Linked DNA regions of Kluyveromyces lactis. The protein of the gene in region 1 binds, or shares a complex with, the protein of each later gene. Links are inferred from orthologs where the notes say so. Each region holds a gene or a part of one and is shown in the gene's direction. Other genes may lie near its edges. The genes, in order: CTF8, RFC2, RFC4, POL2, RFC3 and RFC5.

The links.
Region 2: CTF8 (region 1) and RFC2 share a complex: the UniProt entries of both Saccharomyces cerevisiae proteins name them as parts of the CTF18-RFC complex. The link is inferred for Kluyveromyces lactis from reciprocal best matches to the Saccharomyces cerevisiae genes CTF8 and RFC2.
Region 3: CTF8 (region 1) and RFC4 share a complex: the UniProt entries of both Saccharomyces cerevisiae proteins name them as parts of the CTF18-RFC complex. The link is inferred for Kluyveromyces lactis from reciprocal best matches to the Saccharomyces cerevisiae genes CTF8 and RFC4.
Region 4: the proteins of CTF8 (region 1) and POL2 are in contact, whole or in part, in a cryo-EM structure (PDB 6S2F), measured with the Saccharomyces cerevisiae proteins. The link is inferred for Kluyveromyces lactis from reciprocal best matches to the Saccharomyces cerevisiae genes CTF8 and POL2. Residues at the interface, in NP_012061.3 of Saccharomyces cerevisiae: Glu40, Lys87, Gln88, Arg128, Leu130, Pro131, Met133; in NP_014137.1 of Saccharomyces cerevisiae: Arg1025, Met1036, Leu1037, Glu1038, Glu1040, Asp1041.
Region 5: CTF8 (region 1) and RFC3 share a complex: the UniProt entries of both Saccharomyces cerevisiae proteins name them as parts of the CTF18-RFC complex. The link is inferred for Kluyveromyces lactis from reciprocal best matches to the Saccharomyces cerevisiae genes CTF8 and RFC3.
Region 6: CTF8 (region 1) and RFC5 share a complex: the UniProt entries of both Saccharomyces cerevisiae proteins name them as parts of the CTF18-RFC complex. The link is inferred for Kluyveromyces lactis from reciprocal best matches to the Saccharomyces cerevisiae genes CTF8 and RFC5.

Annotation. Positions count from the first base shown.
Region 1 is NC_006038.1:386,312-389,400, forward strand, and holds CTF8 (Ctf8p), read left to right. Parts: upstream 1-1,767; coding exon 1,768-2,169; downstream 2,170-3,089. Other genes in the region: EGD2 (Egd2p), read left to right, coding at 40-570; LNP1 (Lnp1p), read right to left, coding at 652-1,485; MNS1 (mannosyl-oligosaccharide 1,2-alpha-mannosidase), read right to left, coding at 2,234-3,089. UniProt on the Saccharomyces cerevisiae protein: Essential for the fidelity of chromosome transmission. Required for the DNA replication block checkpoint.
Region 2 is NC_006038.1:1,228,651-1,232,215, forward strand, and holds RFC2 (replication factor C subunit 2), read left to right. Parts: upstream 1-1,746; coding exon 1,747-2,805; downstream 2,806-3,565. Other genes in the region: phosphatidylinositol kinase-related protein kinase TOR1, read left to right, coding at 1-978; YAE1 (Yae1p), read right to left, coding at 1,107-1,535; EAP1 (Eap1p), read right to left, coding at 2,880-3,565. UniProt on the Saccharomyces cerevisiae protein: Component of ATP-dependent clamp loader (RFC and RFC-like) complexes for DNA clamps, such as the POL30/PCNA homotrimer and the checkpoint clamp DDC1:MEC3:RAD17 complex.
Region 3 is NC_006039.1:338,823-342,371, reverse strand, and holds RFC4 (replication factor C subunit 4), read left to right. Parts: upstream 1-1,764; coding exon 1,765-2,727; downstream 2,728-3,549. Other genes in the region: TRM10 (tRNA (guanine(9)-N(1))-methyltransferase), read right to left, coding at 372-1,268; VPS52 (Vps52p), read left to right, coding at 3,037-3,549. UniProt on the Saccharomyces cerevisiae protein: Component of ATP-dependent clamp loader (RFC and RFC-like) complexes for DNA clamps, such as the POL30/PCNA homotrimer and the checkpoint clamp DDC1:MEC3:RAD17 complex.
Region 4 is NC_006039.1:231,564-236,532, forward strand, and holds the end of POL2 (DNA polymerase epsilon catalytic subunit), read left to right. Parts: coding exon 1-4,268; downstream 4,269-4,969. Other genes in the region: ORC5 (origin recognition complex subunit 5), read left to right, coding at 4,479-4,969. UniProt on the Saccharomyces cerevisiae protein: Catalytic component of the DNA polymerase epsilon complex which participates in chromosomal DNA replication.
Region 5 is NC_006041.1:1,166,616-1,170,159, forward strand, and holds RFC3 (replication factor C subunit 3), read left to right. Parts: upstream 1-1,873; coding exon 1,874-2,863; downstream 2,864-3,544. Other genes in the region: MID1 (Mid1p), read right to left, coding at 1-1,581; PCL1 (Pcl1p), read left to right, coding at 3,524-3,544. UniProt on the Saccharomyces cerevisiae protein: Component of ATP-dependent clamp loader (RFC and RFC-like) complexes for DNA clamps, such as the POL30/PCNA homotrimer and the checkpoint clamp DDC1:MEC3:RAD17 complex.
Region 6 is NC_006038.1:1,066,019-1,069,774, reverse strand, and holds RFC5 (replication factor C subunit 5), read left to right. Parts: upstream 1-1,899; coding exon 1,900-2,967; downstream 2,968-3,756. Other genes in the region: APL3 (Apl3p), read right to left, coding at 1-1,550; MRPL16 (mitochondrial 54S ribosomal protein uL16m), read right to left, coding at 3,119-3,756. UniProt on the Saccharomyces cerevisiae protein: Component of ATP-dependent clamp loader (RFC and RFC-like) complexes for DNA clamps, such as the POL30/PCNA homotrimer and the checkpoint clamp DDC1:MEC3:RAD17 complex.

The DNA of each region.
Region 1 (3,089 bases):
CAACCCAATTAACTCAATTGAACCATCATAACTAACATAATGTCTGAAATTGCCCAAGACTCCAACGTTTCCATTTTTTCCAAAAATGAAAAGAAGGCCAGAGAATTGATCCTAAAGTTGGGATTGAAGCCAATCCAAGGTGTTTCTAGAGTCACTTTCAAGAAGAAGGATGGTCAAATCTTTGCTATCGACAGACCAGAAGTTTACAAGTCTCAAGGTGGTAACTTTGTTGTTTTCGGTGAAGCCAAGGTTGATGATTTCACTCAAAGATTAGCCAAGGCTCAAGAATCTCTTCAACAAAATGAAGGTGTTTTGCCAGCTGGTCAAGATGCTGTTTCTAAGGACCCACAGTCCATCCAAGCGGACATGCAAGCTGCTGCTGACTCCGCCACTGACAAGCCTTCTGCTGACGACGCTGTAGATGATGCTGAAGTCGATGAAACTGGTTTGAACGCTGACGACATTGAATTGGTCATGCAACAAGCCGGCGTCCCAAGAGCTAAGGCTGCTAAGGCTTTGAAGGAGCACGACTCTGACATCGTCAACGCTATCATGGCCTTGTCTGGTTAAAAAGCACAGGAATAGTAGATAACTAGATAATTCATTTTTACTTGTATACTTATCTACTGCAAACTCGTATCAGATCCTATTTCATTTCTCTTCTAGTTCTGGAACTTCATGAAGTGTGTCAGAGGCCTCGCTTTTGCTACTAGCTGGTGCGGCTGTGTTCGAGGGCTTTGTAGCTAGTTTGGATCCGCAATTGGAACACACGTATTGGAACGGTACACCAGCTACTGAGTAGCAGCCAAAGGACATTTTACATTGTGAACAAACTATTAACGATATTGATGGTTGTAATGTTTTTATGTCATCACCACCTGCTAGTATACCTAGGGCTTTATCGAACCATTTCTCACGTGCTTCAACATCTTGAGTCTTCTGTTTCTCATTTGTGCGCAATTGTTCCAATTCCATCTTAAGCTTCTCTAGTTGTTCATGCTTCGCTTTCACTTCATCGTCCATTAGTAACATTAAATCATCAGATCCACTTTCACCGCTGGAGTACCGTTGAATTAGTGAGTTAGTGTGATAGAAATTCGTTTTCTGTTTCAATTCCTCCATCTTCTCTTGATGTAAGGATATTAATGCTGAGAGCCTCGACTCATATTTTTTATTGAGCATGAGATAGAATCTTGTTATGGCAAGCCTTATGCATATTAGTAAAGCTAGTGCTACAATGCTGCATAAGATAGCACGCGAAGATGAATACTTCAAATAAACATATGCAATTATGCAAACCAATAACGTCAAATAATAATAAGTTACTGTTGCACGTAAACTTTTGGCTCTATCTTCGATTCCCTTCAATTTCGTTTCGTAGTCATGTATCTTATTCGTTATGGAAGATAAGTCTTTGTTATACCTTTGAACTAACTTCTTAACATCATTATCGCCACTTACAATCTTTCGTACGGCGCTCAACATGTTAAGGTATCAATATCTACTTCCCTTTGATGTCCGATCTCGAGAAACCCTTTATTTTAGGTAGTCCATTTTTTTTTACATAGTTGTTTGTAGGCTATAATGATCCTTTAAATATCAAATCCATGTTATTTCTAAATCATATTGACGAAAAATTATTGAAATTGAAGAATTCGGGAACAGACGATGGAATGACGCCAAAACAAGTCAGTTTGGGTTTCTTAAAACCTTATATATCCATACAAATATCGCTTGGATACTGCCTTTGCACCCAAACTTCTAGTTATGCCAAGTGTGGATATTTCCGTTAATCAATTGATAGATATATTCGCGGAAGATCGCGATACACCACCGACAGTAAGTACATCCTTAGGTCATGTCATGATAGAAATTCAAGGAGACTTGCAACATCCACAGAAGTCAATTGATCCTGCATTGGATGTGGACTCAAGGTTTATAGAGCATGAAGGAAATGGATTGGTACGATTTGGCATATTATCCTACGATCTGGAAACAAAACACGTTACGCTCTTTATTGGGAACAAACAAAGACTTATGGGTTCCATTGTAAAAATTGAGCCACCATTGGGACTCTTGAAATTTGACAAAGCTGATGGAACTGTTAGCCTGCGAGACGTACTCAAATATAAGATAATATTCAAGAATAGACCGCTTCCGATTATGTAGAAATAAAGACTTCTTAAGAACGTATTCTCTAACTATAAACAATGCATAAGGAGGATGATTTGGATTATAATTTCCAACCTGTGGTTAAGTTTAACTCATTGAGTCTTGATTGATTAAATACAGGGAATGGATGGGCCTCAGTATTAAATACAATCTTGCTTAGCTCAACATCATCGTCGAACAAAAGGTAAAGATATTTCAAAGTCTCTGCTAGCCAGAAACTCTCAAGATTGTCAGCTTTGTCTGTTGGTAATGAAATAACATTATGCAACGAAGTGTATGCGACCTTTTCTTCGCCATCCGCCGCGACTTTAATGACTTTAGTATGCTTGATGAAATTGCTAAAGATTTCCCATCCCCAGTGTCTATATTGTTCATTTCCTGATAAATGATACAAAAACATTAGAGATTCGACAGTTTCTGGGCGTTGGATGTTGTGTTTGTCAAAGGGCTTTACGAAATAGTCTTCGGACTCAGATCTCCACCAGTTAGGTTCAGCGTTAGGGTAGTTACTATTGAAAACAACGATTTCTGGTGACAATCCTGATGGGATTTGGTGATACATTTCATAACAAGACTTTGTCAAATCCTCAGCGAGTTCCCAGTCATTTTGTTTCGTAGGATTCCAGTCAGGACCATTCGCAGCTTCAGAGTATGGTTTACCATTCGTGGCTCCCATCGCTAATAACCCACCCATGAAACATACCAAATGGTCGAATTTGGACGATGTTGGTCCAGCTAAGCCATAATCCTTCTCCCCAATGTATTTAAGATGCAATTGACCTTTACTCTCGCCTAGTAGATGCCTCTTCATACTATCCATCGAAAAATCGTAGAGCTTTCTGTAGAGAACTTCACCGGTAAGTAAATTTTGTTTCAAGAGATATTCGTAAAACGAGTCTCCACGAGAACCAAATCTA
Region 2 (3,565 bases), about 840 kb from region 1:
TTACAGAATAACCCCGAGAGTTTCCAAAGGCATTTGAACATTCAACAATACCCTGCTATCCCATTATCACCTAAATCCGGTCTTTTGGGATGGGTTCCAAATAGTGATACATTCCATGTCTTGATCAGAGAACATCGTGAAGCAAGCAAAGTTCCACTAAATATAGAACACAGAATAATGCTCCAAATGGCTCCTGATTATGATAACCTAACTCTATTGCAAAAAGTGGAAGTTTTCACTTATGCTCTTGATAACACCAAGGGCCAGGACTTGTATAAGGTTCTATGGTTAAAGAGTCGTTCATCAGAATCATGGCTCGAACGTCGTACAACTTACACAAGATCGTTAGCCGTCATGTCAATGGTAGGATATATTTTAGGTTTAGGTGATCGTCATCCAAGTAATTTGATGTTGGACCGTGTTACTGGTAAAGTTGTCCACATTGATTTCGGTGACTGTTTCGAAGCTGCAATTCTCAGAGAGAAATACCCAGAAAAGGTACCATTCAGATTAACAAGAATGTTAACGTACGCAATGGAAGTCAGTGGTATTGAAGGTAGTTTCCGTATCACCTGTGAGAACGTAATGATGGTCCTAAGGGATAATAAGGAGTCCTTGATGGCTATTTTGGAAGCCTTTGCATACGATCCATTAATCAACTGGGGTTTCGATCTACCGACTCAAGCCGTGATGGAACAGACGGGAATAGATCTACCTCTTGCAAATCCAAGTGAGTTACTAAGAAAGGGCGTCATCACCGTTGAAGATGCGGCCAAGATGGAACTACAACAAAAGGCAGAAGTCCGCAACGCAAGAGCCACTCTTGTTCTCAAAAGAATCGCTGATAAACTTACTGGTAACGATTTCCCAAGGTATCAAGAACTATCTGTGCCTGATCAAGTCGACAAGTTGATCCAGCAAGCTACATCAGTAGAAAACCTATGTCAACATTACATCGGCTGGTGTTCGTTCTGGTGATACCTAAACAAAAAGAACATCGCTAAAAGCATTATAGACTATTGAATCATTATATCTTCTTATACACTATGTATTTGTAAGAAGGTGCGTATACCTGTCATTATTTATCAAAATAAAAATCATACTCATCAAGAATACTTACCTTCATAATCCAATACCCGAGCTTGCCATTTGGATAGGAGTACCTTCAATGAATCTAAAGGTTGTAATTCTTCATCGAAGTGTCTAGCGGACAACACCCTGTTAATCCGTAGTTCGTCTTGAGCTTGCTTTAAGTCTGCAGCAACTTGAGGGTCTGCATTCCCATAAAGCGTGGTAAATAGCCTCAATTTACCCACAATTTCCCCTATTTGAAACCCATACTTAGCACCCAAGGGGAAGGTATCGTCAAACCCAGCTTGCAAGTTTTCCTCCTTCGCTGACGAAATACCATCTAAATACCCTCTTTTCGAATGTATTTGTTGAAGTTTCTTCACTTCTAGCGACTCTTGAGGACCGGTACTGGCCTCATTATCAGAGCCCCATATATTTTCCTCATCTGTCATCTCCACGGTCATTGGTCGTGAGGTTATGATCAATATCTTGGTCCTCTAGTGGACACCTCTTTATCATCTCATCGTGTACTCTGTATTTAATAAGCTTTCAACATTGAAAAATTCCCAGCTGAACCTTTAACGACTTTGAATGATAAGATCTTTTGGATTATAAAATATGAGAAATAAAGGTTTGTAAAGGGCCATTGAGAGCTCAAGAAGGTGTTGAGGCGCGATGTCTAGTGGAACGATATTCAAGAAACAGAAGTTGAACCCATCAGATGGTAAAGGTCAAGCAAAACCATGGGTTGAAAAGTATAGACCAAGGAAATTAGATGATGTTGCTGCTCAGGATCATGCCGTTACCGTCTTGAAAAGGACTTTACAGACTGCAAATTTGCCACATATGTTGTTTTATGGTCCTCCTGGTACTGGTAAGACTTCTACTATTCTTGCTTTGACGAAAGAGTTGTACGGTCCCCATTTATCGAACAGCAGAGTTCTAGAATTAAACGCGTCCGATGAACGTGGTATTTCGATCGTCAGAGAGAAAGTGAAGAACTTTGCTAGGCTCACTGTGTCTAAGCCATCAGAATCAGACCTTGCGAATTATCCATGTCCACCATACAAAATTATCATTCTTGATGAAGCCGATTCTATGACTGCTGACGCACAAAGTGCGCTGCGTAGAACCATGGAAACCTATTCTGGTGTCACTAGATTCTGTTTGATCTGTAATTACGTTACTAGAATCATTGATCCCTTGGCTTCAAGGTGTTCCAAATTCAGATTCAAAGCGTTGGATTCATCCAATGCACTAAGCCGTCTACAGTTCATCGCTAACGAAGAATCTTTGAAATATGAAGACGGTGTTCTTGAAAGAATATTAGATATTTCCCAAGGTGATCTAAGAAAGGCTATAACTCTGCTCCAATCTGCAGCTAAGATCGTGTTGCAGAACGATGATGCGAATACTATTACTTTGAAGCATGCTAATGAATTATCGGGGACGATTCATGAAGAGATACTACAGGATCTAATCAACGTAATAAAAGGAAAAGATCTCAACAAGATTATTGATAAGGTACAGGAATTTGTTAACCAGGGATGGAGTGCAGCTTCAGCATTGACCCAATTGCATGAGTATTACATCAAGAATGAAAGCTACGATACAGAGTTTAAGAATAAGGTATCTTGGCTACTTTTCGATAGCGATTCCAAGTTAACCAACGGAGCTAGCGAGCATCTTCAAATGTTGAACCTAGCAATGAAGGTATCTCAATTATATAACTAGTTAGATGAGTAATTAGATCAATGAATGCAAAGAAAAGTATCGATTTACTTGCTACTTATTTAGATGTAATTGCGTTATTGGCGCGGATTTGTTTGGCGCGGTTGCTGCGGGTGTTGTTGTTGCTGCGGGTATTGTTGTTGCTGCTGCTGCTGTTGTTGTTGTTGAAACTGTAGAGCCATCATTGGATGGCCATATGGGAATGCATTTGGTGGGATACCTTGAGCTGGAATTGGAACATTTTGCCCATTGAAGTTCATTGGCATACCTGACATCATATAAGGTTGTTGTGGGTGGGATTGAGGATGGCCTTGTGAAGGAACTTGACCTTGCGGACCAACTTTACTTGCTGGCTGTTTTGGAGCGCTAGGAGGCTGCTGTTGTGGGTTACCCAAGTGTTCGGGGAATCCTTTACCGTTGCTCATTATACGTGGCTGTCCCATTCCAGGTGGCGGTGGAGGAGGCATAGCATAGCCACCTTGGAAGTGCTGTGGAGGCATTCCCATAGGAGGGGCCATCATATGTGGTGGCATCCCAACTGGGAATCCTGGAGGTGCCTGCATTGGAGCACCTGATTGAGCAATGTTTTGTGGTGGTTTACCATGTTGCTGCTGCTGAGCAGGATGAGCATGCTGGCTGTGTTGTTGATGAATTTGTTGAAGTTTGCGTTGTTGAGGTTGCTGCTGCTGCTGTTGATGTGGGCGCTGAATGTGTTGCTGTTGTTGCTGTTGTTGCTGTTGCTGATGCTGCTGCTGCTGCTGCT
Region 3 (3,549 bases), on another chromosome or scaffold:
AGTGCATGACGCAACTCGCAAAGTTTCCTGAGAACAGAAGACCATTCTTTGCTTGAAAACCTTTCTTTTCTATTGAGATGAGGGTACGTCCGGAAAAAAAAATGAAAATTCCATTGGAAGGAAAGATAGTCCAGTCAAATAGAAGTTAGTCATGCGTCGTGCGTGATGTTTTGTACTGTCCTCAAAGAAAAAATGAAGCCCTTGGGGAATTCTAGATCTGCAAATGGATATGTTTGTTGCCGTTTGCAGTCATTGGTAGGGTATGAGTGTGGTTAAAAACCGAAGACTGGTTTTATAGCTATGTAGTCTACTTGTCAGATGCCCATATGCAAGGTGTAATTAACGTACAATTATATAATAAAGGGCTGGCTCTATTCAGCAGAAGCAGTTTCAGAGTCTTCTTTTGTAGAGTCGACTTCGAGTTTCCTAGGTGGAAGCACGCTTTCGAATGCTTCCTTCCAGTCCTTGTTGTCGAAGTATCTCAACATTAGTTGGACCATATGGCTGGTAGTCAACACTTTCCTTCCAGCAAGATTGATAAATTCTCCGATAGGAAGCCTCTTGGTTGGGATGTTAAGTTCCTTTGCCTTGTTGTAGCATAGGTTCTTATGTCTGTTTTTATCTACTATACCACCTACGATATAAGTGGTCCCTGGTTCTAAAGTATCCAGTTTTTCTTCTGTATCAGCAGTCAGATAGACGGCATTCTCAGTGGGCAAGGTTGGATCTGCAGTAAATTCGAAATTTTTCCACTTGGTGTAGTTAGAGTTGCTCAAATCGTTATCGAATCGTTGTTTTAATCTCTTATCGAAAGATGTCACTTTAATCTTGGCGTAATTATTCTCTCTTTTGTTGCTAGAATAAGCTCTAGTGACTTGTGTAGATAAACTTACAATTTCGCGATCGTTCATTAAATCATCGAAGGAACAGTCAAGAATAATAGATATGCCGGAATCACTTTGATTCAAATTAACTTTTGGTGGACGCTTTAATTCTTCAGGGATTTCTTCGCCTCTATCAGTATATTCCTTGAGCTTTTCCCTACGTGCCAATTTGGCACGATTTCTCTTCTCTTTGCGGATTTGTGCATATTCTGCCCTCGTCTCTTCAAAACGCTTCTTCCTGCAGATCTTCTTCCATTGTGATTTTGATATGCCTTCCGGAGGAGGTGGAAATTGTGGTGCCCTAACTATCGGCTTAGGTTTATCTTTGACATCTGAGGTATCAGCTGGAATCTCAGCATTTGAATTTTCACTGGTATCAGACATTTGAGCTTGTCTTCAATTCTTTATTCTCGAAGGACCATCTGCGATGAGCTTCCATATCGTTGGAATCTTTGAAAGCTTTCTCTAAACATTCGTTTCTTCTTCTGCATTTTTCATGTTGATAAAGTTTGAAAGTCACGTGGGTTTTATGTCACTGGATAATCGCTTCCTGTTTCGCGATTAACACAACGATTCGAATTATATCAATCCCGAGAGCGTGACACCATATTAACGTGCCAAAATTGATACTAGTAAGTATGTCCAAGCGCCTGATTGTACTTCTTCTCTTCTTGTTTTTTTTTTGGTTTATCAACATGTATTTATATCTAAATCTTTGAAACTTTGAAATGTAGAGAGCATTTAATTCACAGAGCCAAATGAAAATAATGGTTCTGTCGAGGTTGAAAAGAAAATACATAACTCTGGGTCACTATCAATTGACCGATTAATAACTATAACAGGGGGTTCAGATCAGTTCTTAGAAGATTGATTTTGAAAGATGTCCTACGCTACCAAGTTGGAATTACCATGGGTTGAAAAATACAGACCGCATTTATTGAAAGATATTGTAGGGAATGAGGATACGGTGCAACGGCTACAAACCATCGCTGCTGATGGTAATATGCCTCACATGATTATCAGTGGCCTACCAGGTATTGGTAAAACAACTTCGATACACTGTTTGGCACATGAGCTATTAGGTGATGCGTATTCACAGGCTGTATTGGAGTTGAATGCGTCTGATGACAGAGGTATCGAAGTCGTCAGAAATCAGATAAAGCATTTTGCCCAAAAGAAGTGCACGCTACCAGCAGGTAAGCATAAGATTATCATTTTGGATGAGGCAGATTCAATGACCAGTGGTGCTCAGCAGGCTTTGAGAAGAACAATGGAGTTATACTCTAATACGACGAGATTTGCTTTTGCATGTAACCAATCTAATAAGATAATTGAACCTTTACAATCTCGTTGTGCAATACTACGTTACTCGAAACTAACTGATGAACAGGTTCTCAAAAGATTATTGGAAATTATAAAGCTGGAAGATGTTCAATACACGAATGATGGTCTCGAAGCTATTATCTTCACTGCCGAAGGTGACATGAGACAGGCAATAAACAATTTACAAAGTACAGTTGCTGGTTTCGGTTTAGTAAATGGGGAGAACGTTTTCCAAATTGTTGATTCCCCGCATCCACTAATAGTCAAGAGAATGCTATTATCTGGATCTCTCGATGAATCGCTGCAATATTTAAAAGAACTTTGGGTTAAAGGCTACTCTGCGGTAGATATAGTGATAACTTGTTTCAGAGTAATGAAAAATCTCGATGAAGTTAAGGAAACGGTTAGATTGGAGATGATCAAGGAAATCGGCTTTACACATATGAGAATTCTTGAAGGTGTCGGGACTCATCTTCAACTATCAGGTATGTTAGCTAAAATTCAAAAGCTTAAATCGTAAATAGACTATTACCACATAATTAACATCCAAAAAGTAATCATAATGATTGTAAATATTTAAATGACCCAAAGTTTTCAAGCTTGGGGACCTATAGAAAGCATATAATTAAACTACTCCCCCGTTCGCTCACCGTCAGCATTTCGTTTTCCTGATGTGTGTGTGTATTACAACTTTCAGAAAAAATACGAAAAGCCTGAAATATATCAAAAAGAACATCGACTACACCGCAAAGAATACAGTTGGAAAAGAAAGATACTTCAAATTGTATTACACTCTGTTCGTGACAGAAAACCATATATTGAAATTATAATGGATGTTTTAAGCGATCTGTTAGAATTAGATGCAACTGAACTTCAACTGCCAGAGGATTCTCCATCAGGTAAAGATGATAACATTGATACTTACCGAGCCTACGTTGACTCGACCCTAAAAAAAGAATATCAATTACATACTGAATTCCTCAAGGAATTTGATGATCTCATGGAAAAGAACCAATCAATACGTACCTCTACTGAGACACTTATACCGAGTTTGAAAAATTACTTTGCCGAATTTAACAACAAGTTGAACGATTTGACTAAAGATCTCGATTTCGTTAAGGGTAAATTTTCTGAGTTTTCATCGTTACTGAAGAGTAACTCTTCGAAGTTGAAAGACATAAGTCCCATCGTTAATGATTTGATAATCTCTCCTGAAATAATATATCAAGTGTTAAGAGGCAAGATTGATCAAAAATGGATTGATTGTATTGATTATTTGAACGATAAACAAGAGATATTCCTGAAGTATCAAGAAGAAAATAAATCAGAGAGACCAAATGAT
Region 4 (4,969 bases), on another chromosome or scaffold:
TAGCTAAGTTATGGAAAGGAAAACTATCTAAAATCAAACCAGATGACGTACATTCGAAGGATGAGGCTAAAAAAATGATTGTCCTGTATGATTCTCTTCAATTAGCGCACAAAGTCATTCTTAACTCATTTTACGGCTATGTGATGAGAAAGGGTTCGCGATGGTACTCGATGGAAATGGCTGGTATTACATGTTTGACAGGTGCAAACATTATTCAAATGGCCAGATCCGTGGTTGAAAGAATTGGAAGACCGTTAGAATTAGACACCGATGGTATTTGGTGTATCCTTCCTAAGAGTTTTCCGGAAAATTTTGAAATCAAGCTGCGCAACGGCAAGAAACTATTTCTTTCGTATCCTTGTTCGATGCTTAACTATAAAGTTCATCAAAAATACACTAATCATCAATATCAAGACCTCGTCGACCCTATGAAGTTCAAATACCAAACAAAAAGTGATAATTCCATTTTCTTTGAAGTCGATGGACCATATAAAGCAATGATACTGCCAACTTCCAAAGAAGAAGGTAAAGGTATCAAGAAGAGATATGCTGTGTTCAACGAAGATGGTTCATTGGCTGAACTAAAAGGTTTCGAACTAAAAAGAAGAGGTGAACTACAATTAATCAAAAATTTCCAGAGTGATATTTTCAAGTTATTCCTGGAAGGAACAACCTTAGAGTCATGTTACGCTGCAGTAGCAACAGTTGCTAATAGATGGCTTGATGTATTAGATTCTAAGGGTGCAATGCTCGAAACTGAAGATCTTATTGAACTGATTTGTGAGAATAAAAGTATGTCAAAAACATTAAAGGAGTATCAGGGACAAAAGTCAACTTCCATTACCACCGCAAGAAGGCTCGGTGAATTTTTGGGGGAAGCAATGGTTAAAGACGCAGGCTTACAGTGTAAGTTTATTATCAGTTCCAAACCACATAATGCACCGGTGACAGAAAGGGCTATTCCTGTTGCTATATTTTCTTCCGATCTTCATGTTAAGCGCACATTTTTAAGGAGATGGTTATTGGACTCAAGTCTCAATGACTTTGATCCAAGGGCTATTATCGATTGGGACTATTATAGAGAAAGATTGGCTTCTGTTGTTCAAAAAATTATCACAATACCGGCAGCATTACAAAACATTAAAAACCCTGTACCCCGTGTTGAACATCCTGATTGGTTAAGAAAGAAAATTGCTGTTAGTGAAGATAAATTCAAACAGACTTCCTTGAATCGTTTCTTCAAATCTACCAAAGCTCCACCTGAAGTCAAAGATATAGAAGACTCTTTTGATGAACATTCCGCGAATAAATCACGTATCGCTAAGGTCACGTACAAGAGAAAGAGCAAAAGACGTAATGGGGATACAGCACTAGAAGAAGAGTCTTTGCTGCTACCCTCTGAAATGCCTCCGATGTTAGATGATTATGTGGGCTGGTTACAATATCAAAAAACCAAATGGAAGATCCAGCATATTGATCGAAAGAAAAGAGAAAAGCTATTTGGTAAAACTTCACGAGCATCTGATCGGTCTGCTTTGGGCAATTTGATAAGAAAGCACGTTGAATCATATGCAGATAAAAGCTGGGAAATTTTACAATGTAAACCGTCCATCGATTTAGGTGTCGTAGAAATTTATGCTTTAATCGATAGGAAAATCCAATTGCTGAAAGTAAACATTCCCAAAACTGTACTCATGAACTTCAAGACGGAGAATTTCCCCTCGGGAGGGATTGAAAACTGTATCGTCGAAAAGTCCAACGCGGAACTGCCTAACGTGAAAGGCATCAACAATGAAAGCAGTAGTCAATTGTTTAAACTGACAATGTCAGAAGATACCTATTTCAACGAAGTTAATAAAGCATCAAGCGTATTGAACAACGAGAATGTTTTGGGAATATACGAGAGCTCAATTTCTTCGAATGAAAGAGTCATAATGCGGCTAGGGACGTGTATTCAATTCAGCTCTGAAAAAATGGGTGCGCTAGGAAAAGGTTTACAGAACGGTTTTCATATGAAGAATTTACATCCTGTTGAAGCAGATAGATATCTCCAAAGGTTTGACCTTGATATTGCCTACCTTCTACATTTTGTAACAGATATCGGCTATGAATTCTATTTCTTGTATAAAGCATGGGAAGATGTGGTAGAAATATTTGTGCTGAAACCAAGCACTCATGCTCAAGAAGTTTCTAATAAAGCTATAGAATCTCTTTACAACGAGATATACGAGAAAAAGTTCGAAAAGCTCGATAAATACTATGACTTAATCAAGATAAACAAGAACGTTTCGTTTAACGTGAATGATTATACTGAACTAAAGCGTTTACTGAAGGACCTTTCAAAGATGCTGCAAAATATTAAGGAAGAAAAAGGATCTCACACAATGGTGATTCTACAATCTCCATATACCCATAGAGTTGCTAAATTGTTGCAGCCTTTGAATGCCTTCCCTGTTGTTGAAATAGCTACTGCTGAAACACATTTGCCAGCTTTGAACTGGCAGGGACAATTAATGAGGAAAGCGGTCAATCACATATTGTCTCTTGGTTCTTGGATCTCAAATTTGATTACTCTCTCAAAATACAGCAACATTCCAATATGTAACCTCAAAGTCGATAATCTCGGATACATTATCGATTTGATGTACGCTCGCCAGTTGAAAAAGAACAACATCGTTCTATGGTGGAATGATAAATCGCCGTTGCCTGACCACGGTGGCGTTGAAAGAGATTTTGACCCACGGAAAGCGGAGCTCATGACTGATTTGGTGTTCCCTATTATGAATAACCCTGATATCTATGATGACGTTATCTTCGAAATTAGTGTCTATAACTCTGTTGTGAACACTGTTTTGAGCAGCACCATGTTGAACGAGGCTGAAGGTACAGACCTTGCCCAAAATTCGACATCTAAGGAAGAATCCTTCGGTTTTGTTGAAGATTCTTTCTCTTCTTCGGCCTTGTCAGTGCTTCGCGCACTGTTGAAAGAGCTTTGGGATGATGCCTTAGGTGATAATATCACGGCTGACTCATTAGTACACGCATTTATAGGATGGGTGTATAACCCTGACGCGAAATTATTCGATTATGCTTTGAGATATCACATCCATACTCTCACTCAAAAGGCCGTGTTACAGTTGATCAATGAATTTAAGCTGGCAGGATCATCTCTCATCTTCGCAGACAGAAACAAACTGTTAATCAAAACTCAGAAGCGTTCCGTTGAGAATTCTTACGCCTATGGGCAGTATCTCATGAAAGCGATCAGATCTAAACCAATGTTTGCCTATCTAGACTTGAAAATTGATAGATATTGGGATGTCCTGATTTGGATGGATAAGTATAATTATGGTGGTAGAGCATGTCTACAGATTGAAGATAAAGAAGTTCAGAGTTTCCAGGCTTATTCTCATTGGCATATAAAGGATTTCTTACCTGCAATTTATCAGCAAGAGTTTGATGATTGGTTAGTAGTCATACTGGATAGTATGGTTAAGACAAAGGAAGCCTATCATGAGCGAAATGCATCCACACAAAGATTAACCCAATTACCAAAGAATACACTGGCTGATAGTGACGTAGATAGTCAAACTGACTCTCTAGGCGGTTTTACCCATAATTTTTCAAAAGCTCTCATCAAAAGAGCAGAGAAACTTTACAAGAACCAACAGGAATATATTCTTGATCCTAACTTCGGCAAGGATTATCTATCTCCCACAATTCCTGGGTCGCATCTAGTTGTGAAAAATCCGCTTCTTGAGTTGGTCAAATACTTATCACATATTTTATCACTTTCCAGTAATCATTTATTAGAAGGAAGGGCGCTAAGGAAAGAACTCCTAAAGACATTTGAAATACGCGAATTCGACAGATTAGCTGAATTCAAGGATCCAAGTACATCTTTTGTGATCCCTAGCTTCATATGTGAGCATTGTTCTTATATATCAGATATTGATATTTGCAGAGAAAGTATGGAACGAGTCTTCATATGCCAGAGCTGCAACAGATCCTTGAATAAAAATCTCATTGAAGAGCATGTGATCGAACGACTTCAAGCCCAAGTTGCATCGTTTATTACCCAAGATGTTAAGTGCAATAAATGTCATAAGATCAAAGAGGATGCAATGTCACCTTATTGTCCATGTTCAGGAAAATGGGAACTTGCCGTATCTAAGGAATCTTTCATGGCACAGTTACAAATTTTCAAGAACTTGGCGGAAAGCTTTGACTTTAGAACATTGAAAGAAACTTTGAATGATTTCTTATAGGTTCAAGTCCCTGGCATCTGTTGTATTATCTTTTAGTCTGCTGATGTGTTTACATTTAACATTTATGAGTGTTTATGTGTTAAAATAGATCTGAAAATAAAAAATATATATACACATAAAGGAAATTGTTCTGAACTTAGCATGGTTGAATTCTTCCCACCTGAATGAAGACGCACTATGTGTTATTTACTGCGAATCAAGTGACCCAGAATGGTACGACCTGATGTTAGATATAGAGAAGAACAACTAGATTTTTTGGAAGCGTTTGTCGATGCCGATCCAAAACTGAGCCCGCCAATCTTGTTCATAGAAGGGCCGCATGGAAGTGGTAAGACACATACCCTCAAGAAGTTTTTTGCTTGCAATGAAGAAATCATGAACATTTTACTACCAGCGAAAGATCTGATATATAGCAAATCCACCTGTCAGCGGTTGGCTACATGTCTGCGTCAATTGCTACTGAAACAATTTCCTAGTGTGGAAACCACTGATCTTGATCCATTTGAAGCCGAGGACGTATATCTTTTGCAGAAATTTATCAATAAATTGTTTATCCGATTTAATCACTTGGTAGAACGCGTTAACCTTTATGTTATACTCGATGGGCTGGATGATAATTCACAGGTGAACTTGGAAACACCTACGCAACTCATGGCATTACCTGGATCTATTCTTCCACAAGCGATGATTCAACTTCGGTT
Region 5 (3,544 bases), on another chromosome or scaffold:
GCTTTGATCAGTTTCATAGAAATTATAACTATTGAGCATCAAATCAGTATAAGATGTATAACTGGGACACGTGAACCCAAAATCTGGTGGACAATCTCGAAGCATTGCGACACAGGTATCCACACAAGGTAAGATCTCGTAATAGTCTGAAGAAGGCTTTATTAGTTCGTTCAACATCTCATTCCGACTTTCCTCTGCACTCCGATGCACGTAATATTTGGTTTTATCAGTTGTACACCGAGGGATGCTAACAGAACATAGCCAGTTCTTATATGACGCTGCGCAATTGCTGCACTTTCGTAGCGGAGAATATACCGCATCTTGTTCTGTATCGCAGGGGATCAATTGCAACGCTAAACTGAAGTTTGAATAATAAGATTCCGCTATGGAATCGTAGATTGCGGCCAATTCGTCCTTATCGTTGTATTCCAGTAAAGACGAGGATGGTACCGAATATGCAACACCATCACAAAATCCCAATCCAAAGATGAGTGAACAAGATGAATCATCCATGGTCTCAAATAATTGCTTAGAAAATAGAACACCACCAGAATCTTCCAATTCCTTTGTGCTGGTGGCTAATTTCTTTGTGACATATGCAACGTACGTGGTTGACGAATTTAAGCCAGTTATATGGAATTGTTCCTTAGCGCTACCCCCGCGTACCGTAATAGATTTATGAACTGATAGAGTTGTAGAAGATAGAGATGCATTTTCTGCTGTATTACCATTATTAGTTCCGTTCAATGAGCCATTAGCCGATGAAATTAGATAAGGCCCATTCTGAATGGCACAAAGGGAATGAGATAGGTTCAAATTATCAAAGTATTCGGCATATTCGAACCCATAGATGTATATATCATAAAGGCTGACATCATAGATCGAATAATTAGATGTGGTCTTCGACATAGCTGTGACATTACCAGTAACCAACAAAGCAGAATTGTAATCAGTGTCAACGACATCAAGCCACGGACGTTTATCCCATTGAAAGACAAGATCACGCTGAGATATGGAAATCTGGTACGACCACCGCTCATCATCATCTGCAATTGTACTACCATCCGATTCAAATGGCTGACCAGTGGTGCTATTAACCAACTGGACCATCAGATACAACGTGGAATACGTGCCATTATTCAGCGAAGAGTCGTCAGTATAATATGGTCTTAAGGCCAAAGCTTCCAAATACCCATCGTCAAATGTAGAACTCTTTGCAGTGGTGAAGGTCCCAGTGTCGTTAGAGTTAAAAGTATAGTACAAGACCAAAGATGTATCGTTATCAACTTTACTAGGCCGTTCACAGATATTTGCACTTAAAAAGATGAACATCTCATATGTCTGTAGTAATTGTGAGAAAGAATCTGTATTGTTGATAGAAAATTCGAAATATGATTTCTGACCCTTTACTAGTGAAGCTGAAACAGGTGCCCATTCTTGCAATGAAGCAGAATCAGAACTGTTATCATTGCCAGTGACGGTATCACTGGCCATCAGGTTCTCATCGAGAAACAAATCAAAGCAGCAACACGGAACCGCAAAAACCGTCAGTAACAAGTAACATACATATCTCCATAGCATGATAGTGCAGTTACCAGTGATCAGAGTACAATTACTCTGCTACTTACGGATCTCTCCCTTTATTCAAAGAGCATGCGTTTGAACCTTATATATAGAATTACGACTTGTTCCATTTTTTTTTCTTCCATTTAACATTGATGAAAGATGAGTTCGAGCATACACAAATAGAAAGATATTTTGATGGGAGTAAAGAGGTCCACAAGGGTCGAAACAGCTCTACCCACATCCAATTGACTGATCAGTATTAGTACCAGTCGATTTGTAACAAAAAACAGAAAGAAAAACAGCAACTATGGAGAGAACGAGTGAGAATTTGCCCTGGATCGAAAAATACAGACCTGAGACACTAGATGATGTGTATGGGCAACAGAACGTAGTGAACACGGTAAGAAAGTTTCTACACGAAGGAAGACTACCTCATTTACTATTCTATGGTCCACCGGGAACTGGTAAGACCAGTACCATTGTAGCATTGGCTAGAGAGATATACGGATCGAATTACAGAAACATGGTCCTAGAATTGAACGCGAGTGACGATAGAGGTATCGATGTGGTGAGAAATCAAATCAAAGAGTTTGCCAGTACAAGACAGATCTTCAGCAAAGGGTTCAAACTTATTATCCTTGACGAAGCAGATGCAATGACCAACGCTGCACAAAACGCACTAAGAAGAATCATAGAACGGTACACCAAGAACACAAGATTCTGTATCTTGGCTAATTATGCACATAAGCTAACACCAGCACTCCTGTCAAGATGTACCAGGTTCAGGTTCCAACCTTTGTCCGAACAAGCCATCGAACGTCGTATTGCGAATGTGTTAGTGAAGGAACACTTGAAATTAGACCCTCAGGCACACGCAGCGTTATTAAGGCTCTCTTCCGGTGACATGAGACGAGCATTGAACGTACTACAGGCAGCAAGAGCTACGCTAGACAATCCTGACACAGAAGAAGTCACCGAGGATTTGATCTACGAATGCATCGGTGCACCTCACCCACGTGACCTTGAAACCATGCTGGAATCAATTCTCAAGGACGACTGGACTACCACTACATACACCGTGAACAAAATCAGAATCACAAAGGGCTTAGCACTTATTGACATGATTGAGGGGATCGCGGGCCTACTGGAACAATATGAACTGAAACCTCAAACCAGAATTGAACTTCTATCTAGACTAAGTGATATCGAATATTCGATCTCAAGAGGTGGTACCGATTCGATCCAGACCAGTGCAACCATCGGAACGATAAAACAGTGCATGGAATTAGAGGTGTGACAATGTATGCACACAATAAGTAAACTAGTCAGACGTATACCGGATCTATATACCATGTGACATGCTGCGACTGCGAAATCACGAAATAGTGTAACTTTTTCTTTCCCGTTTTTTCGTTGATTTAACGGTGTCGAGAGAGAAGCAAAACGCGAAGTTTCGTCTCGAACGAAAAGAAGTTTTAACGGATACGGTACTTAATGCATGTATAGAGTTTAGATATGGGTAGATTTTCAATGGGGACCACGAAAAAAAAGTGTCAGTTTTATAGTTTTGGAAATTACATTACTTGATTGTGTTTTAATTAGCATTTTTCTTTCCTTGGTCGTCTTGATAACTGATGCAGCTTGAAGTACGGTTAGATCAGAAGGACAACGGGTGAATTGGATTCTGAAGATCACGAAATAAAATTACTATTCCAAGATCGCATAGTTTTGGGTATCAGGTACCACCGCATTGATGTATTTACTGTAAGTAGACAATGGCAGCGTGCCTTTTTTGGCGCATTGATAAATGTGTAACCTGGAGACTCGCGAAGGTTCAAACATATATAAAAGAGAGATTAGGATCGGAAGGATGAAGCATCTTCCAGTACTGCCTGTCATGTTAGGCACAATTTTGGGAGCATATCGTAAGAGCCCAACAAGCCTATAAAGTCTAAGCATGTTCAAGAAGAAGAGTTTG
Region 6 (3,756 bases), about 680 kb from region 1:
AGATGTTCACACGCTAGTTTATGTAATGGTTCATTGTTCACCACTATCTGACAAATTCGCTTCCAAACATGATCATTCTTGATTGATGTGTTTGATGATAATAACCTTAACGAGGAGAGCACAAACCAGTTGAGATCATCTGCGTGCAGCTCTATCAGCCTTTCAATTTGGAACGACAAATCTTCTCTCAGAGCAAAATCCATTGATTTGTGGGCTTCTAATGCACTTAAAAGCTCTTGAACGACAAATTTGAAATTGCTTACGTCTGTTAAGATGACAAGGAGATCAATAATTTTTCTCAATAGAGTAACGTCACTCTCTCTTTTTAACATATCAACTAATCTCGTGAGATGTTCATTTTGAATTGTCTTTATCGCAGTTGTTCCATTTACTTTACAGATTTTGATTAAAAGATCGAAAGTTGAATATCTCGTATTCAGGTCATTAGATGTCATTAGTTCACAAAGTCCTGTGACGGAATTTGAAATAGCCTCATTAGTAGGATCCAGTTTACAAGCAAAACCGAGCATTGTAAACATAACAGAATACTGAGCATTTTTGGTGACCGGATTGGCATCACTTGCTAATGCAAACGATACCGCATGTGATACACAAACCCGTAACTTACCCAGGGTCTGTTGATCAATATTCGATCCGATCAAATTCTCTCCGTTATCGCTGACCAAGACTTGTAAAAGAGATACACAATTCCCTACAATCCATGGGTTAGATACTCCCGAAAATTGGTAATCTGCATCATTTGCACTATTCTGCTTTTTCGATAGACATTCATGCAAAATCTCAGCTAGTTGCGGGATTAACCTCAAACATGGATTAACGTCAATCTCTCTAGCTATAAACTCAAGTAAAGGCAAAAGTGAAAGTAATAATCCATGATCGTTCTCATCCCCTAATAATGTAGTAATTCTTTCAATCCATAGAGTTCGTTTATTATCTTCAAGATTTGTAAGGATTTGCGGTTTATAACGAATTAAAGTTAAAAACGCCAAGCATGCTTTTCTTTTCAAAATGGCTGATGAGACAGGAGATCTAAGAATTCCGAATATCGTCTCACTTAGATTATCAGCAAAGATTTCATCACGATTCCCAACTATTCCGACGAAGTTCAACGCCAAGCTTACTGCATTAGCGTCGCCAGATGATAGATCCAGTTTCAAGCATGAAATAGTCTTCTCCAGGACGCTGTTTCTCACAACAGCATGGTTGAAAAGGAGTTCAAGTGTCATATAACCAATCCATTTTTCACTGAAGTTACTGCTTTTCAACAACTGGAAACATTGATCCAATCCGAATAACAACTCAGGAACCATGCCAGCATTAGTAGTGATATATATATATGCCATCTTAGCAACATATTTTTTCCTTTGATACCCATTGAGCCCACTTTTCTGGGTAAACTGAGTCCGTATATTCTGTAGTTCAGTTTGTATTCTCCTAGCATGCTCTTTAGTCTTCTGGTTTGCTCGAAGGTCTGCAATGAACAATTGCAAACCCTTCATGTTGTTCTGTTGATTCTGACCTAAAGCCATTGTTAATTTCTTGATTCTGACTTGTAAGACACCAAATAACTAGGAAGATAATCAAGTGGCACTGCTAATCGATAACAACTAGTAAGTGTACAGATAAAAATGGTACCTACTGCTGGTATACTATCTAACTTGATGTTGTTGTTTTAAGGCTATTGAAGTTACGTCTACTTGAAATCATTTGAATTTCAAAATGTCAACGTGAAGAAACGTTTGGCGAAATTGTTAATAAAACGCATCACGAAAAGTACTTGAGAGACAATTAATCAAAACGCATAGCAGGCGAACGAGCCATTCCAGCGAGTTACATTGAGCTACATCGACTAACAAGATTTAAAATTCCTATACGAGAATGTCTTTGTGGGTTGATAAGTATAGACCAAAGACTCTACAGTCATTAAGTTACAATGAAGAATTAACAAATCAATTGTACTCATTAACGAGACAACCTCAAGATCTTCCACATCTGTTGTTCTATGGACCCAATGGTGCTGGTAAGAAGACTAGATGTATGGCACTGTTGCAAGAAATATTTGGTTCTGGGGTTTACAAGCTGAAGATCGACGTTAGACAGTTCGTCACACCATCCAACCGTAAGCTGGAGTTGAATGTAGTCAGTAGTCCCTACCATTTAGAGATTACTCCGAGCGATATTGGTAACAACGATCGTGTTGTGATACAAGAATTGATTAAGGAAGTCGCTCAAATGGAACAAGTAGATTTCCAGGACTCCAAGGATGGTTTGGCACATCGTTACAAGTGCGTTATCATCAACGAGGCAGACTCGTTGACTAGAGATGCCCAGGCAGCATTAAGAAGAACTATGGAAAAATACTCTGGTAACATCAGGCTTATAATGCTATGTGATTCAATGTCCAGTATCATTGCTCCTATCAAGTCTCGTTGCTTGCTAGTTAGAGTACCATCACCAAGTTTGCAAGAAACTGTGTCTATCCTGCAGGATTGTTGTTCCAAAGAAAAAATAACTGCCGAGGGCAATTGTCTAGAGAGGATAGCGAATCTGTCAAAGGGGAACTTGAGAATGTCACTCTTAGCACTAGAATCTACCTCACTACAAAATGAATTGCATTTAAGAAACGATACACCTTTGAACAGACCTGATTGGCAATTGGTGATCCATAAAATGGCTAGGAAAATATTAAAAGAAAGAACTGTTAATAACCTTGTAGAATGCCGTTCCATAAATTATGATCTATTAGCCCATTGTATTCCTGCCAAAACCATAGTCCATGAATTAACGACGCAATTGCTTTCAGATGCCCAGTCAGATCCGTTGAAGTTGGCAATTATCGATACTGCATGCACTTTTGATCACCGTCTCAACCTTGGAAACAAAGCAATCTACCATTTAGAAGGGTTCATTGCAAGGACAATGTGTGAAATAGATAAATATACGTAAGTATTAACTTTTGTAGTTTGACAAACAACCAAACTTTACTCATTTGGGACTTTAAATCTTGAATCTTTGATAGCCTATTTACAGATAGTGGGATTAGCTCTCACAAAAGTTATACGTAAAAGAGTCGTTTATATACACACATCGATCTATTTCAACGAGCCCTGAACATTCTATATTCCGGTTGCTGGGACTTCAACTTTGTAATATATTCCTTTGTAGGTTTCTTCTTTAGTTCTTCAAAGTAATTGATCTTTGGATCGTCCTTTGGATCTTTTACACTCTTGATACCTACTCTTACCAGAGAATCTTTCGATATGAATTCGTATAGGCCAGGAAGCTTGGTTGCTGCCTTTCTAAACGCCTCACGTGCTACTTTCTCGTGTAGATTGTCACCTGCCATCTCAAAGATCACTTTACCGGTGGGTACTCTGACCATCCAATGGTCAAATCCACCCTTACCTTTACCCATTCTGGTCTCATTACCCTTGATACAAACAGCAATGTTTGTACACAAACGACGCCATAATTGACCGTTATTCAAAGGTCTAACGTATCTCATAATAGCATTATCGGCTTCCTTCAACTGTAACGCAGTAAGTCTCACACCTTCAGACTTCAATCTTAAACCAAATTGACCAAATTGAAGCGAATTACCCTTAGTAGAGCCACCGGTACGCACTGGCACACGACCCTTTTGCTTCTTAGTCTGGTTCTTGAAACGTGGAGCATATTCATGTGTAAAACGCCTAGCGGTTACTTGCAGACTTTCTAATGGATTTAGTGAGCGAA